4 linked regions of the Coturnix japonica genome follow. The protein of the gene in region 4 interacts with the protein of the main gene of each other region in a pairwise test. Links are inferred from orthologs where the notes say so. Each region holds a gene or a part of one and is shown on either strand. Other genes may lie near its edges.

The links.
Region 1: the proteins of EIF4ENIF1 (region 4) and EIF4E2 interact in binary tests that used the Homo sapiens proteins (3 or more experiments, as listed by UniProt). The two-hybrid records come from large-scale screens. The link is inferred for Coturnix japonica from reciprocal best matches to the Homo sapiens genes EIF4ENIF1 and EIF4E2.
Region 2: the proteins of EIF4ENIF1 (region 4) and EFHC1 interact in binary tests that used the Homo sapiens proteins (3 or more experiments, as listed by UniProt). The two-hybrid records come from large-scale screens. The link is inferred for Coturnix japonica from reciprocal best matches to the Homo sapiens genes EIF4ENIF1 and EFHC1.
Region 3: the proteins of EIF4ENIF1 (region 4) and EIF4E interact in binary tests that used the Homo sapiens proteins (3 or more experiments, as listed by UniProt). The link is inferred for Coturnix japonica from reciprocal best matches to the Homo sapiens genes EIF4ENIF1 and EIF4E.

Annotation. Positions count from the first base shown.
Region 1 is NC_029524.1:13,651,558-13,656,100, forward strand, and holds the start of EIF4E2 (eukaryotic translation initiation factor 4E type 2), read right to left. Parts: upstream 3,199-4,543; 5' UTR 3,024-3,198; coding exon 2,950-3,023; intron 2,738-2,949; coding exon 2,623-2,737; intron 1,187-2,622; coding exon 1,052-1,186; intron 1-1,051. UniProt on the Homo sapiens protein: Recognizes and binds the 7-methylguanosine-containing mRNA cap during an early step in the initiation. Acts as a repressor of translation initiation.
Region 2 is NC_029518.1:98,069,446-98,073,560, forward strand, and holds part of EFHC1 (EF-hand domain-containing protein 1), read right to left. Parts: intron 2,145-4,115; coding exon 1,923-2,144; intron 450-1,922; coding exon 162-449; intron 1-161. UniProt on the Homo sapiens protein: Microtubule inner protein (MIP) part of the dynein-decorated doublet microtubules (DMTs) in cilia axoneme, which is required for motile cilia beating.
Region 3 is NC_029519.1:53,875,871-53,879,985, forward strand, and holds part of EIF4E (eukaryotic translation initiation factor 4E), read right to left. Parts: intron 3,384-4,115; coding exon 3,288-3,383; intron 2,045-3,287; coding exon 1,981-2,044; intron 38-1,980; coding exon 1-37. UniProt on the Homo sapiens protein: Acts in the cytoplasm to initiate and regulate protein synthesis and is required in the nucleus for export of a subset of mRNAs from the nucleus to the cytoplasm which promotes processes such as RNA capping, processing and splicing.
Region 4 is NC_029530.1:7,949,832-7,953,946, reverse strand, and holds part of EIF4ENIF1 (eukaryotic translation initiation factor 4E transporter), read right to left. Parts: intron 2,617-4,115; coding exon 2,543-2,616; intron 1,730-2,542; coding exon 1,602-1,729; intron 1,048-1,601; coding exon 752-1,047; intron 177-751; coding exon 1-176. UniProt on the Homo sapiens protein: EIF4E-binding protein that regulates translation and stability of mRNAs in processing bodies (P-bodies). Plays a key role in P-bodies to coordinate the storage of translationally inactive mRNAs in the cytoplasm and prevent their degradation.

The sequences.
Region 1 (4,543 bases), on a different chromosome or scaffold from region 4:
TCTACTCAGTAGGACCATAGCTATTAAGCAGATCAGCAGTGAAGCTGGAGGGGTTGGACACCATTCCAAGTACTTTATCAGAGACCTCGATGACTTGGTCAGCACTTGGAATTCTGCTTCAAACTCTGATCTCTGCCATCCAAACAGAAACTTGCTTTTATAGTCAATATAATTACGAATCAAGGCTGAGATGGGGTCAGAAACAATCTATTTCTGCAAGATAATTTCTACACTGCATTTGCATGCAAGTTCTCAATGAGTGTACCTGCCCTCTAGCGGTTAGAATTTAAAAGCTTTGACTTACAGGTTTCTACTGAAAAGCAGAGGACAAATGTGAATCCAGGCTTCAGCTCAGACAGTCCCTCCTGGAGCTTATTCTCTCTCCTTTAACAAAACTTGGAACCAAATCTTCTGACCAACCTCTTTCCAACCTACCTGAATTCTAGCATTTCCAGCCTACAGTATCAATCAGAAAATCTTTACAGCAAAGAGCAGACAACCCAACACTGCCTTTCCAGTACTTACTTCATTCTAGGAATAAAAAACCACGAACAGCTAAAGGGTAAAAGGAAGAAAAGTTTCCCCTCCAACCAACTTCACTGCAACACTCAACTGTACCTCAGTCATCACTTCCACAGCAACAGCAGACACCATGCCAAAAGCTGCTTACACATCAAGAACACCAGATGACTGTTCTTAACACACTTTGTGGTGGAAATACTGGGGGTAGAAGGGAGCAGCTGTACAGTCATTGCTTCACAGCTCTTTCTTTCTTCTCTTGCTCACTTGTCAAGCACTGCTGCAGCTAGCAGGTTACAGTTATAAGAGCTCTCACCATTCTTCTATTATTATTCCAGCTAACACAACGCAGAGGAGAACTGCTTAGGACACTCCACCTGCTGTAGGTAGTTAAAGAACTCACCTGTAAGTCCTCTGCTCTCAACAGCAGAAGCACAGCATGCACGTGCATATGCTCAACATACAGAGAGTAAGCCAGCCGCAATGACTACATCATGTCCAAGTGGTACAAGCACAACAGGGATATACTCACTGAGGCAAAGGTGCCGATCTGTTTGATGTTCTGTTCATAACTCTGTGAGCTGGTTGGCCTCCCAGGTGTTCGTCTGGAGTACCAGAAAGTGTAATTATACTGCAAGGGGTGCTCAGCTGGTCCCGGGACAACCGCCTGCAGAACAGAAAACCTTGCTTAGCCCTAATATGCTACTCTACAGCAGGAATGGAAAAAGAAATACATTCACAGCATCAGAAATCTACATGTTCCCATCCTAACAGAGTGTAAAACAAACAATAAAGCCTGACTTTCACTGAAAAATGCCATTACTGTTAGTTGACTTTCATGGACCATTAGGCTAACAGCAGCTGGCCATTCCAAAGAGTATTAGAAATTAGCTGTATGTTCACAGTTAAGGAAATAAGCTCTAGGAAGAGACACACATAAACAGGCTTCATAACAATTAAAAACAGCATTATTAAATTTACCTTTTAATTCCGCACTGTGACTGTCTCAAAAGAAAATGACAAACTGAAAACAGCAATATTTTCTTCTGAATGAAAAAAAAAAAGCCATTTTTCCCTATGAAGAATAAAACACATATACTAAATCATGCTTTAAAAGCATTACAACTGATTGCTAACTGCAGCTCCCCTTAAGCAACTGACACTCCCAAAACTCTGTGAGGATTATTCTGTCTTCTAATGAGTGTGAAAAGGGGTTAACAAGAACTTATTACCCAGGAGTCAAAACTGACATGACACAAGATGAGGGCTTTGGGTTTTTGGTTTTTTTTTCCACTTGGTATTGCTGCAGGAGTAAAGAGCTTAAATCTCTATTCTTTTCTTGTCTATAGTAAATTTACAATGATATAAGCACAAGATTAAAAATAAAAACAACAAATAAGCATAGAATTATAGAAACATAGAGTCATATCCACCTTCTCAACCAGGGTACACTGCACTCAATGAGATCCCATCTTAAGAGTAATGTCAACAGCAGGACAAACACAGTTTGTAAGCCAGCAAAAGGCCACCATTCCTCTGTCAATCACTCTCTTCCCCACATCCTCTTCCAAATATTGTTTTCAACAGTCAGGGGAATAAAGCTTTATTTTTTTCTAACATAAGCAAAAGCCTGGCTGCTCCTAGTTGCAATTACGAAGGAAGTATGAAGGAGATTCAGGCTGGACATTAGGAAGTATTACTTCTCAGAAAGGGTAGTCAGGCATTGGAATGCACTGCCCAGGGAGGTGGTGGAGTCACCGACCATGGGAGTGTTCAAGAAACGTTTGGATGTTGTGTTGATGAACATGATTTAGCTGGGAAGTATTGGGAATGATTGGACTAGATGATCTTCTGGGTCTTTTCCAACCTTGATAATTCTGTGATTCTGTGAAGCGTTCACCCCACAGATTATATACCTCTAAGAACTCCAAAATGAAACTTCAAAATCAGACAGAGTAAAAGAGTTCTTCCATCATCATTACCACAGCAACAAAACATAACATGACCACAGTCCTCCAAGACATTTTTCCTTATCCTTAAACTGAGGGCTCCAGTACTCTCACCTCAAGCCCTGGTGAGGGGATGCAGCCACCAGCACCTTACCTTCCTCTTGGTGGTACTCTGTGGCTTCTCTCGATCATTTTTTTCCTTCTCACTGTCTTTCTGTGTGTTATTCTCCTCGTTCTGGTCATGGTCTCCACTATCATCATCTTTCAATCTGGTAATGAAGAAGACCAGTGGCTGTGAGCATTATATCTTGGAGCTGGGAAGTTTCACAGCAAGCAGCAGCAGCAACCTCTTTTTATACTCTCCTGCTAATGCTTGACACACACTCAGGCACATGCAAAACCGAGATACAAGTGAATTCAAGCACTCAGTAACCGACCACAGACCCTCTGCAAAACAACCCCACCGTGTGGACCCTCCAACCTGCCGGCAGCATCCACAGAGCCCCCAGTGCAGCTTTCTGCCCCTCCACAGCCTGTGCCGGCCACGGCAGCCATCACCACCCTCACGCCTCAGTGCTCCGGGCCTGCCCCGCTCCCTGCCGAGGGCAGGAAAAGCTGAACGAGAACCGTGACCAACAGGCCGGCCCGGTGCACAACGAGGCCTCCCGACAGAGAGCAGGGCCGGGAAAGGGGCTGTGTGCGGCCCCGTGACTCATGGCGGATGGGAGCCGCGGGCAGGGCCCGAGCCACGCCGCCGACTCACGCGTCGAATTTGTTGTTCATCGTCGCTCGCTGCCGCCACCCCCGTCCACCTCAGCGACTTCCGCTCCGCCGAGTCCGCTCTCCAAAACCTTCCGCCACTTCCTGCGGCGACAGCGCCGCCATGATCCCCGCCCCGCCATCATGGGGGCGGAGCAAGGCGGAAGTGGGAAATAGACATTTCCGGCCGCCATCTTGGTTCTTGTACTCATGTATATGGATATGAATATATATGTATATGGATATATACATGAATATACAAGGACAGTGACACATCAAAGTGCAGATGCGTGTATTTCTCACCTTATTCTTACAGATACACCATAGTTTAGAGACATACTAATATACATACTGCCATCATAAAGCGGTACTGTTGGCATCTGAACCAGTTATGAAGAAATCTGTGGTCATTTGAACATGTTGTGTATGAATATAGATCATGGGTCATCCTTTATCTGCAGATATAAGAGAGGTGCTGAGCTTTAAGAATCTTTTAGTACTGTAACAGATTTCCAGCAAGACAGATTTATCCATATATGCATATCCACAGAATCCGTACAGAGTTAAGTTGGAAAGACAGCAGCTCTACTAGAAAAGTAATGACTGGCTGAGGAACGTAGTGTACAGTCAGCTTTGTTCCAGTCTACAGTGGAACAACGTTATTATCTGTGTGGTGACTGCCAAGGAACACCAGCAAGTACTTAGGCAAAGTGCTGGGCTTTTGAAGTGCAATTCAAATAGATAAATAACAGTCTTTCAGAAGGAAGAGGAGGAGGATGTGGGAAGACAGCTGGAAAATATCTGAACTGCAAATGTTTTAAATACGTTGCAGCTGCACAAGAGACAAATACTCGTTACCTTTAATTTCCTGAGTGAAGTATGCGTCACTGAGGATCCATGACTCTCCAGGCACCCAGCTCTTCTGGTGGTTCCTGGTCTCACCCTTAATAAGTGTTTGCAGATCCTGCAAGTGTGTTAGTGCCAGCAGCTGTCTCATTAACACAGGGCTGAAGCACTTTGATGGTGGTGGGAAGGTTTCTTAGAGCTGCATGTGGAAATACAAGCGCAAGGAATACTATGACTATCTGGGCTTCATAGCTTTGTTTAGAGCCTGAACTGTCAAAGCTGAGCCATGTCTAACCATTTCTGTGACGCAGGTGTATTACTTATCTGAATATAGGAAATAAATGCCCACATAATTTTTTTAAAGTTGATTTTGGAGGCAAGATCTGTGAAGGGTGACCATTAGTATGCAGGTATTTCTCAGATCACTTACTCTCCTATACTGACTTTGAGATTTGTGGCATTTAAATACC
Region 2 (4,115 bases), on a different chromosome or scaffold from region 4:
TATATGAGGAAAGAAGTCTCCACAAAACACAGAATGAAAGATCACAAGCAATCTCAGTGTGAAAGCTACAGGTATAGAATACCAGACTGGACTGTAACAAATCTTTCCACCTTGTAACTCCTGGGATTCCTCATGTCAGTTTCTCCATATAAGGAACTCACCTGCGTGAATGGGTCACAGTCAACAATGCGGTATGTCCTGCCATACATGGTGATGTTGATACCTCGATTCAGATCCTTCCAGTGGTAAGGATCCCCAAGGGCATTCTTGGGCACGCGATGACGTCTGATAAATGTGCCTTGACGAAAACCGCAGTTCTTCACAACAGGCTCCATGACAGATATGGTGTCATCTTCCAAATAGTAATAGATACCCACTTGGCGAATACGGTAATGCTCTTCTGTAGAGAGAGGAACATCTTCCTGGAAATAGGCATCAAACTTCAAAACCTGCCAGAGGGACAAGATACCAAAGAGAGAGGGAAAGAAACAATTTGACCACCACAGTTAGTCTGTTAATACAAAGTTAATACAAAGAATTGTACTTGCAATGGGCTTTGACAGTGAAAAATGACTGGATTCTAATCTATAAAATCATCAAGGCCAACTGTTAGCCCAATCTGTGACTGATGGTGGAGGCTTCAATAGGGCTTTTCTAAGTTTGGTTACACAAGATACTTGTAATAAATACAGCACTTTCTTTTCTCCATGATCATCTGTTATTCTACCTACTAACCGAGTGCTTGGTTACTGTCAGTAATCTAATTTACAGACACATCTGACTTTCTTTAATAATCAGACCCCCTGAACAAGGGTCTGAAAAATGATCTGGTGATTTTAGTTAACAGTTTGATGACATTTGTGGTTTTTAGGACCTGCCTCATTCATCTGAACTCATATCTATCCAGCACAGGCAGGAAGAGGCAATTTGTTCTGAAGGAATAAAGAGAGAAATCAGGACACAGAGGAAACTCACGCTGCATACCCTGCCAAAAGCCAGTCAGTCTCAGTCCCGTGAATGATAGAAGCACAAGGAATATTGCCTCCAAGAGCATTCATTGCTCCTAAGAGGATGTAGGTGGGTAATCAAGCCTTGCATACCCAGCCCACTGACCTACGTAATCAAGTAGCTACTACTATAGTTTGAATGAAGGGACAGGGAAGTATCTGACATTAAAACAGCACCATCTACGTTACTCTGAAAGAATGGCCCCTGAAGCAGTAATTAACACAGGATATTTGTCCCTCATGCTGTCTCCCAGGAGGGCTGCCTTTCCAGACCTGCCAGACAGGGTGCAACCTCTGCATGTGCTCAGGACTGCCGAGCCTTTCATGCTCTGCAGGGACTGCTCTGGCTGCAGCTGCAGTCTGTGCAACCAGCACGTTTAAAAGTGAGGGTCAGCTCAGGATTGCAGACCTAGAGCCACCTCCTAGTCTGACAGGATCACCAAGATGTAATGCAGGAAGTACAGCTGGAGCAGCAGGCTCTAACATGCTGTGGTGACAAGCATGAGCATATATAGATAGACCAAAGCTAGACAGTCTATCAGGGACTCAAATGCAGAGAGACTTAACTGTTCAAGCTCAGTTACAACCTCAATAACCTTTTGGAAATGCAGGAGGGCAGGCTGTGTTTTACAGGGCAGTGGTTATAAACTGAAGCTTTTCAGAATTAATCAAATTTCTTTTCAAACTCCTGCTGGAATTGCTCCGGCGTAACTCGCAGGGAATGTCTTACATCGTTTATGTATTATAATCCTCCTCCTGAGCAAAGAAAGCCTCTTTCAGACTGGGGTTCAGCTGTCTCTGACTAAGGGCTATGGCATCTGAAAACTGCTGTACGCTGTCCCATGAACCCTGGAGCTGACTGTTTATGTCTCCGAACTTGGCCAGCCAATATTCCTGGAATAAACTTCTTTATACCTTTTTGTCAAAAGCCACGTGTGCTGGAACGAAGCCTGAAGGAGTAATCTTCTTGGCTTCCCCGTAGGTCAGTGTGGGTCCTGTGTAGCATAATTCATCTAATTCAGCTTGAGTAGGCTGATTCACGTACAGTCGCTCCCCGCCGAACCCCACTGTTGGCAGCCGAGAAAAGGCAAACCCATTTTTGTAGCCCAGCGTCTGCGAGCGATGAAAGGATGTTTTCTGTGGAAGAAAATCCAGCTGTTAAAATCCTACATGCACTTAGTAGATATTGCTACTAAAAGCACAGAAAACCAGTGACAGTTTGATAGCCAGAATGCCTCCACAGTGATTTATTATAACCTACTGCAGCCGTTACTTACGCTTAGATCAAGAAGGCTGAATAAACAGTGAGTGATTGGAGGAACAAAGCATCAGAGTCAGCTCAAATCCTTGCACTGGCACAGACTTACCACGAGCCTCAGCATCCAGAATGGGGCAACTGCACTTGATCTGCCCTAGTATTTATCTCACAGACCTTTTCTTCCCTACTCTGTGCTACAGCAGTGCAAAGCTCCAAGGGACCTCACTCCCTTATGCCCTATGGTGCTCCCTTGACTATTGCATGTGCACCTTCTTTCTGTTACTTCTTTGTTATATATTCCTTGCAATTTCAGAGGATTCCCCTTGCTGGTCAAGATGTGTCACGTCTTTAGAACTGGAATTAGGAAACACATCAAAGCATATCATTTGTTTCACCACCTCTCCCCACAACTTATGTAAGGGTCTGCATGTAAAAAACCACAGACACAGAGTAAAGTCCTATAGCAGATCTATGGGGAACCCATTATGACAAACAATTCTGTTTATGTGAGCACTGTATAACGTTGGCGATAGGATTCTCCTGTTATTTTTAGCTTTGTTGGTTTATTCTTAGTTTTGACCTTCTTAGAGGCCTTTCCTGCCTTTGCTATCTGCTTCGTGTCAGCTATCAAACCGTTCTTCAAGTGAAATAATTATCCACATGCCACAGGAAGGTCCCCACTTTGCTTAAGGGCACAGAAGAAAGCATCTGAGCTGTGAATAGGATGTCAGCTCTGTTTGCCCAGTTGCGTTCTTCTCCACTGAAGAGGAGGATTGGACTTGGCAGGCAGGAGGCTACTCAGCTTGCAGTACAGCCCACATCTGCTGCTGAAAGCATTTGGAACAACACGTGGCTGGCTGGTCCCACTAGGCTTTCGGCACTTGTAACAAGGAAAGCAGGAGAAACTGTGAGTCCATGAGCATGACCCCTCCATGGAAGCATTGCCCCCTCCCTGGAAGCATTTCAGACCAGGCTGGATGGGGCTGTGAGCAAAGTGGTCTAAAAGGAGATGTCTCTGCTTAGAGTAGGGGGATTGGAACTGGATGATCTTAAAGGTCCCTTCCAACCCAAACCATTCTATAATTCTATGATAAAGTATCTGCTTTTACCTTCAGTTTTGCCAAATCAAACAGAATTGTAGGCATTTCTAGCGCCAAAGGAAAAGGCTTCAGCTCCTTTGCCAGACTCACAATCAGCCCAGCCTCAGGCATGTGAACCACTTCTCCTCCTCCCCCTCCCTCACCCCCCATGGTTAAGCTTCTAATCTTATTTATACCTTCAAGGCCTCACTTGAATTTCACATAATTGCCTGTTTTCTCTCTGAGCTGGTACTACGCATCTCACAGTGCAGTTAGGAAAACACATTCAGGTGAAAACAAGATAGTTTACTGGAGACACGTTAACAGAATGTTTCATAAACAGCAGCCCTGCCACAGGATTGCCATTCCTTTCTGTTCAATAAATACCAAGGGAAACATTCAATGAAAACCAAGGAGTTTGTCCTTAGATTGGCAATATCAGCGCTTGTCAGAAGCACACAGGCTTTTAAGGGCATGAACGCCAGGCTACATCTCACAATATCAGGTGAGTAATGCAAAACTGAAAGGGAAAACCCAGAATGTAAACTCCTAATCTCAGTTGCTGCCAGCCCATATTGGAGAAATGCTACTGAATTAAGTATTTCTTGCCATGTCTGTAGAGCTTCATATAAACACTGCTTCTCCTCCCAGGGTCTCAGTTCGTTAGAGTGCATCTGAATAACCAGTAACTAACTACGTTATCTTATCTGAATGCAGAGGTTTTTTTACAGCATGTCTCCAAATTCACATAGAAAACAAGTATCTTGCTGA
Region 3 (4,115 bases), on a different chromosome or scaffold from region 4:
TGTTTTTTTCATCTTCCCACATAGGTTCAATCCCATCCTGGAAAGAACAGTCAGAAGTTAAATCAGACTTCACTTATACTTTTCCTTGGGTATAACCAAAGGACCAACAATAACTGAAACAGCACCAATAAGTATAGTTTGAGATACATACTTGTCTAGTATGAAAATACTAGAAAGTATTTTCTTTCTAGTAATACCTCTGGACCAACAGTAAAGTTCCACAACTGCTTAAAAACCACACCTTTCCTAGTGTTTTTTTTAAGCTGTCGTTTCCACGAAAGATTGTCAGCCCAAGCTGAAGCTTTAGCTACACAGTAGAGCATGAAATATATTGCAAAGTCAATCATCCACCTTGCCCTCTCTGAAACCCGATAAAATTAGCAGCCGCATTCTGGAGTCTTTATTTTAAGTCTTGGACTCAGCACAACGTTGGCCAAGTGCTCCACTTATGCGTGAAGATTACTTCACTAAAAACACTCTGGCAGTCTCTCTTTGACTTCCTGCACACATGGGGTGAAAATAAGAGGGTTCTAATCACTAGGGCCAGAAAAAAGGAAATAAAAGAGAATCAGCAGACCATTTAGAAATAAGTCACAGCCTTATTCATGCATTACCAGTGGCCCTGTACCACATTAAACAACTCTGGATGCGTTGAACCTGCAAACAAGTCAGCAGCCACTCCCATATCTACCAGCTACGCTGAACTTCAGGAAAGAAGGTCAGTCATTAAAAAAAGCAGGTAATTGTCTGGTCAGAGAAATTCAGACAAGAAATAGCTACAAAGAGAGCCACATTATAGAATTTCAACTGCAATCTAATTAAATGCTCAACCTACAGGATGGAGCAGAGCCAGTTCACTTTCTCAAATTTAACACCCTCACTGGCAGCTGCAGAGCTCAAACTGCTTCATCACCTTTAAGGGGAACTCTTATGAGGTCACAATTGAAGGACAACAGTAAGAGGTCACTCAAGTCTGCAACAGCTGACAATTCTATACCTGTTCCATATAGATGGAAACTGAAGTTTCTGTTGATAACATGCAAACTCTGAATAGATGCACAGAGACAAATTTAGGATTCAGACAAGAACACAAGCATGACCTGTATTTTTCCTAAGATTTGAAGGGATCCGTTTCTTAACATTTACCAGTAAAGTTTCTCACAACATAAATATTGTTACCTTCTCAAAATCAAGCATAACTACCTCTTCACTGCCCAAAGCTGCTGGGATTTATAATTTGCGTACAGCCTACTGAGGGGTCCCTGCCAGGGTCTGTTTCATAAGCAAAGGAGAAGCCAGGCATCAGTACTTACAGGATTATTTACGTATCTGAATCCAGAAAGGAAGCTGTATGTTAGAAGCACTTCATAGAGGTTAGGGATTAATTTAGAGCTCCAAATCAGATGTCCACTCCAGACAAAAGGCAGGATTTCATGTATAATTTCTCCTTGGCATTTTCTGTTAACTAACTTGAATGCTCAATAACTTGTCAGCCTTGTGTACAATTTTCTATTTCATGCCTATAGAATATGGCACTTAACTTATGGTGTCATAAAAATTAATTACAGGAGCGCTGTGCAGCTGGCTAGTAGCGTTCATTCTGAATGCTGACAAACATCACAGTTCTGCATAGAACTCAGCTATGGCTAATTTCATGTGACAGTGACAACTGGAAAAATCTCTTTCATAAAACTAAGACTTAATGATTCGTACAAACACCTAAAAGCTAGAATGAAGACAAACATAACTACAGATCAAAGCGTGATGGATTTAAAATGCTCAAGGAATTACTTGCATTTTCAGTATCAGTAACTGTGATTTTCAGAGTGCACTTTTGGGACTTCCTAAAAATTAAGACTTTTAGGACATCTCCAGCTGTGCTCCTACATGTCTGAAATGAAATGTTTGGACACAGTCTTGCTTAGTCGGGAAACCATCGATCAACATCCACAATGGAAGAAAAATTGTTAGCAAGCATACCTTAAACAGCGAGTAGTCACAACCAGGCATTAAATTACTAGAGAGCTGGATATGGTTGTATAAACTATTGGAGGGAAAAACAGCAGGATTAAAAACTAAACATTATTTTAAGGTACAAAATGCTAAAAGAATTTAGGACATGTCTGAATAAAATACAAAATTTAAACAGCATTAAAGTAATTCAGAAGCAACCCTGTTACCTAGGTTTTTTCCCCCAGCAGTACAAAAGCATTAGCTTTAATGAGTTCTAGCTCAAAGAAGCAGAATGGAAGCTGGTTTCATCAACACTTGCTGGGCTCCTATACCACAGTATTTCCCAGAAATACCTTTCCTTCTTCTAAACTTAGTTCTAACAAGTTAAAAATAATAAACATAACTTACTGAACTTTCATGCAAAAAAGGAAGTTTTGTGCATGTGTACTCGTCCTCTATATATGCATAACAATTTAATAGAATAACAATTTAAACACCTATGGTTATTCTCTCTGCAGAGAGATTTTTAAAAGTATTCAATTAGATTTTATTCACTTCTGTACTCTGTAGTTGAAGACTGTAAGCCCGATAATTCAAACTGAAATAAGAACTCATATGGCAAGAACAGATGACTGGAAGAACAATACAAAATACAGCCAGAATTAAATTCACGACTATGCAATTGAGAGCTAAGAAGTTGAGGCAGTTCATACAGCCTCCTAGCAAGAAGGCAGGTGCTTTTCTTTCCTGCACTGCTAAGGTGACACTTCAGAAGATGGTCTGCATCAAACACTAAACTGTAGTTCAAGACTAACTAACACTTAGGCATGGTCCAGTACTAAAAAGAAAACTAACTACTTCAACTTATTTTATAGCTTGACTGGAGACATCTGAACACTTTTCCACTACAGCCTTGATTACACAGCTCAAAAACTTACCCATCACTAAGTACACTGATAAGCTTCAAACAACTTATCACATATCCCACCAGGGGGATGCAAAAACTGTTTTCAAGAACTGAGTCCTGCTCCCCTTCCTCCAATGACTGTACTGACAAACATCAGCTTAAAATCTTCAACACGTTTCCTCTCTGATGGTGCTACTTTCACTGATGTGCATTAAAAATATGAAGAACTTCTCCAATTACACATAATTCAAATGTTATATTATTCTGGGTTACATTCTTGCAAACTCTGAAGAATCAAGATCTGGCCATTAATTTTATAGGTATTTCCAAAGAGTTGTGGCTAATGAAAAACTTTACACCTTCTGATTTCAGCATAAATTTAGCTATCACATATCAGCATTGTGCAGACCAAGGCATGTTTACTTACGCCCAAAAATCTTCAACAGTATCAAACTTTGAGATCAGACGGAGATTTGCTTGCCAAGTTTTGCTCTTGTCATTTTTAAAAAACCAGAGCGCCCATCTAAAGGAGAACAGAGTACAGAATAATAGCATCTAGAATTAAAGCACGTTACAAATAAAATTCAGTACTGATTATATACCAAGTAATCGCAAACCTCAAGAGGTTATTAGCACGGAAAGCAGTTTTCATTAGCTGGCAATGTGAAAAATTCATTTCTAAAATCTAGCTCTACAGCATGTATCCTAGAGTTACAACAGTCATGGGAGACTTGATTATCATATCAAGTAATTACATCATATCAAGTTATATTATCATTGAGGTAATTATTTCTAATGTGTTTGGGTCATTTCTAAGACTAAATCTCTAAGCCTCAGATGATTCCCCTTTTTGCCACTGGTAAACTGCAAAGTCCTCCCACCAGTAACAATCATGGTTTGAAGCAGTGCCAACTATCCCAATCTGGAACTCAGCTGCCTATTCCATAATTTCTCTGTAAAAGTCAAAAGCTAATTCTAGTGTATGCATATAGATGAATGTCTCCCTAGCATTCACCCACCGGGAGAACAAATTTCAATAGAAGTCACTTGAATTCATTTTTTATAAAACTACCAGCTTAAGCTTCACTTCGGGTTTTTAGATTCACACAAGTGAATACTTAAATTTTCCACCCTATTTTCTTCAACGTCTCAACTGAGTACAAGTTTCAACACCTACTATTAGAAAAAAAGAAATCATCTTTACACTCAAAGACATTCCTTAGGAATCAGAAGAATATTGTCTAAAATGCTGGAA
Region 4 (4,115 bases):
CTTGCACGCTTTCTCCCTTTGTGATCTTCCTCTAAAATTTTGTCATCAAAGCCTGTGAGCTCAATCGTTTCAGACTGACTCGTAGGACCAGCAGAGAACCACTCAGGTTCCTCTTCTGTGTACGAGTCATTCCTTCTTCGCTCCCCAAAGACACGTTTGCTATCACCAAATTCCCTCTGGTGGGATGTTAAAAATATTAAGTTAACCACTGAATGTAGTTTCATAACACTCCTCCCTGACCTCCAAAGCAGATGACACTATTTCCCCCATCATCTTGCCTTTTTTTTTTTTTAAAAGCACATCCAGCTTGCTTATTCAATTTTAAACTTTACCGCTGACTTTCTGCTTCAACAATAAAGGCTATTGGTCTGCAAGGGCCTGTATAAACTCAGTTCTGTATCCTGAGAGGAAGATATTTTGTATTATTTAAAACAAATATCTTGAAGCATAAAAGCTTCCATCTGCTGACAACAGCTAGGTCAAGAACTATTAACAATCAGACTTCTTAATATCTTGTTATTGCATTTATCACAGGAGAGGTTTGTAGGATGCACAGAAGTGGATGTATCCCAGTTCTTCTAGGAAAGAACTGACACCTGAAACTCAGTGCTCATCCATTGGACCATGAAGATTCTCTTTAAGAACAAGCCCACTTGTGTGGAACACTGAACTGCAGTTAGCCTGTTCCTGTTACTTTTAGCGCAGACTGTCCAAAACTATTTAAATATTTAACCAGGAAAAAAGAACAAACCCTGAAACGTTTATCTTTGTAGTCCCTCTCACGTTCTCTGTCTCTTGCATCTCTAGAATCACGTAAATCTTTTTCACCACCCCTGTGGTCTTTATCAAAGTTACGTGAAGAGATGATTCTTCCACTGCCAATCCTACGTCCACCAATAACACGGACACCGTCATTCTCTTTTTCTAATGGGCTGCCTGATCGACGTGAGCTAACAGCTGCAGTTACATGACAGCCACCTCCAAAGCTTCGTCTTTGTGGACTCAAGACAACATCCAAGTCATCTTCTTTCACTCTCTCTCTTGGATCTACAAATCAAAGATCACACAAAGTATTTAGTTGAATACAGCAGTAAGCACAAGCTAGCTATCCACAAGATAACCTTCAGATAAGATAAATAAAAAAATAAGATAAACCACAGCCTTGCTGCTACCCCTGGAGCTTTTCAAAGGACAACATCCACAGTTTATTTTTGTGAGGCTAACCTGCCAAACACCACAGAAAGATGAGAATTAAAATCACAGCTGGATATTAAGGAATCATTGCTCTGTCACCTAGAAAGTCCCTGCTCTCATCTATACCTCCTAAGTACATGCCCAATCTTGAAGCACAGAAAACTACCCTCTATAACTGCATTGTTCCAAATGTACTTACTACTATATTGCAAAAACAGCAGGCAATAACAATCTGCTAGTTTTCATAGAGTTAATAGCATACCAGGAACAAGTTATACTTGGAATCACCAAGATTTCCTTGATACTTATTCTATGTAATAAATTTTCAGATATTCATGTCATCCCAAAGGGAAAGTTTTGCCAACAGCTTATGTTTAAGTTTGGTTCCTGTACTGTAACATACTCACCTACTATTCTACGCATAAGAGAAGTCCGATCTGAATCCAAATCTTTTTTAAAGCTTTCCACTGGTGAAGTCCTCCCTGAACTCGGATATAAAGATGCATGCCACTTCTCTGGATCCCAGACACCATCACTATGAAAAAAAAGGTGCAGGATTACTTACTACATCTAACATAATAAAGAAATCATATCACTGTTGCTGCAAACTAGAACTCATTAGCCATCTGGTACGAACAAGATCCACCTCCCACCTAACTTCTGAATCTTTGAGTTACCACATGAGGTCGTGAAGTGTAGTATTCCAGATCCTTCCTATAAGCATAAGTATACCATATATACACTTAGACTGTAGAACATATGTTATCCCACCAGGTATCAAGGAAGTTTGCCTGACACAATGATAAAAATAACTCAAGTGGATCAAGTGTCTCAGTTCTCAGGCATTTTGGAAGTTCTCTTCATCTCATACTTGTCCAAATGAACAATCTGGTATTGGAGATCTTGCTGTTTAGCAAACTCCTCAGCACAAGGCAGGAATACTCTCACCTTCATTTTAAAATGAGGTACACTGTTAACGTGGGAGCGTAATCCATTAAGCAAGTCAGCCTGTTGCAACATGACCTCGTCAGTGCTGTACACCCACCTATATTCTTGTTACCATTTTAAATAAATGAAACAGCACTAAAATCATGCTGAAGCATAGCTTCTGTATGTCTATGAGATTTGTACAGTGAAAAGTTATTTTCTTATGGATCTTACATTACAATATTTTCCAAGTACAAATTTCCCAACTAGCACATTCAGTTTCTACTATTAGATTATTACTTCTGAAAATACTTCAGTTTACTTGCATCAAAATAAGAGAAACTTTCCAGCTAAGAACTACTTGATATTTCAACTTCTGCTTTGGAAACAGATGTAGTTCTCAGTATAATCAAGAAAATACCTGTCATATTTTTCAGAGAGACAAGAAGGTCTTTGCTTAGAGTAGGGACGCTCTTTAATATCCAGAAGTTCCTCCTAGAAAAAAAGAGCAAGCAGTTTTAATTCTCACCCAGACGCGATTTAAGTGACTCAAACATCTGTTCCAAACTACCTATTTGATTTAGCCATTTCATTTGACAAGCCATGTCATTGTGTTAGTTCATTTACTGTTAAATACAACAGTGAAAAGTTGACATTGGTTTATTTTTCAGTTCTTCCACCAGTAGCCTTTGAGCACACTCTCAACTAATCAGAACTATACACCTCACCTCCATTACCTCTTTCTACAATGACAGAGACAACGTAATGCTGTTTGAGAAAGGAAAGCGAGTCCAACCCATAACACTGACAACCTGTAGAATAAGTTACAGCACCATTATCAACACAGAACAAATTTTAGAGTGTGACTCAGGTTCCAAAAGAGAATTTCACTGGGCTAACCTAGAATTTAGACAACGTCTATATAAGTCAGTATAGCACTTCCAGAAACCAGAAGTGTTTAAAAACAGAAGTTGGTTTCTGAAAATGATCTGAAACTAATCATACAGACCTATCTAACAAATCAGTATGACTTCTAGTGAATGACAAAGTAGTAGTAGCAGTGCTTAGCAAGTAAATTAATGTTTCCTCCCATGTCTACCACTATAGATGACAAGAATAAAACAAGTTTTACCCACAAACATTAACCTCAAATCCATACTCACTTGAAGTACAAAATCTTACTAGGTCAGATTTGGGCTCCGTTAACACTTAAGGCTGTCCACATCAGCCATGTTAACTCATCCATTTCCCTGCACAATTTAACTTACAAGCACAACAAGCACTGACATTGAAGCTAGCAAGCTTTCAAGATAGAATGAAAATCGCTGTGTTCAATGCTGTGTAAAGTTCAGTTTGTAAAAATAAAAGCATTACACAATATCAATCACTAAAGCAGATCTGGAAATACCAGACAAGCTTGTCATTTTTGACCATCACCTACTCGAAACCATCACCTATTGTGACTCTACCCAAGACAAATTGATGTAAAACTGAAATATCATTTAGCAATTCCTACCAGCTTCCAAATACACTCCTGAGTTGATAGCTGTGCACCCTGACTAGCCAGCCATTTTAGGGAGACAAGCAGCTTACCTTCTCACTGTAGCTTGCTACATTCAAAAAGCACTAAGTGTTGTCAGCACTCTGGATCACCAGAGCTACACATAGTAAAGATGCGCATTTCTAACTCTTAGATATCTTCTGTAGATTGCCTTTCTTTAATCTGCCTCCCTTCCAGCTGTACTGTACTGAGAACTTATCAGGAAGGACAAAGACCCAAACAGTAGACACCATATCAGCCATACTGAAGAAGGTTCTGTAATCCAAGAGTAAAGCATCTACACAACAGCTTTCACATCATTATTCCCATGCATCTAAAAAAATCAGATCAGTGGCTACATTAACAAGCAATGCCCAGGATCATTCATGTGTTAAGGTTTTATCCACCTACCATACAAATGTACTTCCTCAGCATAATCCTGCACTAGTCCTCA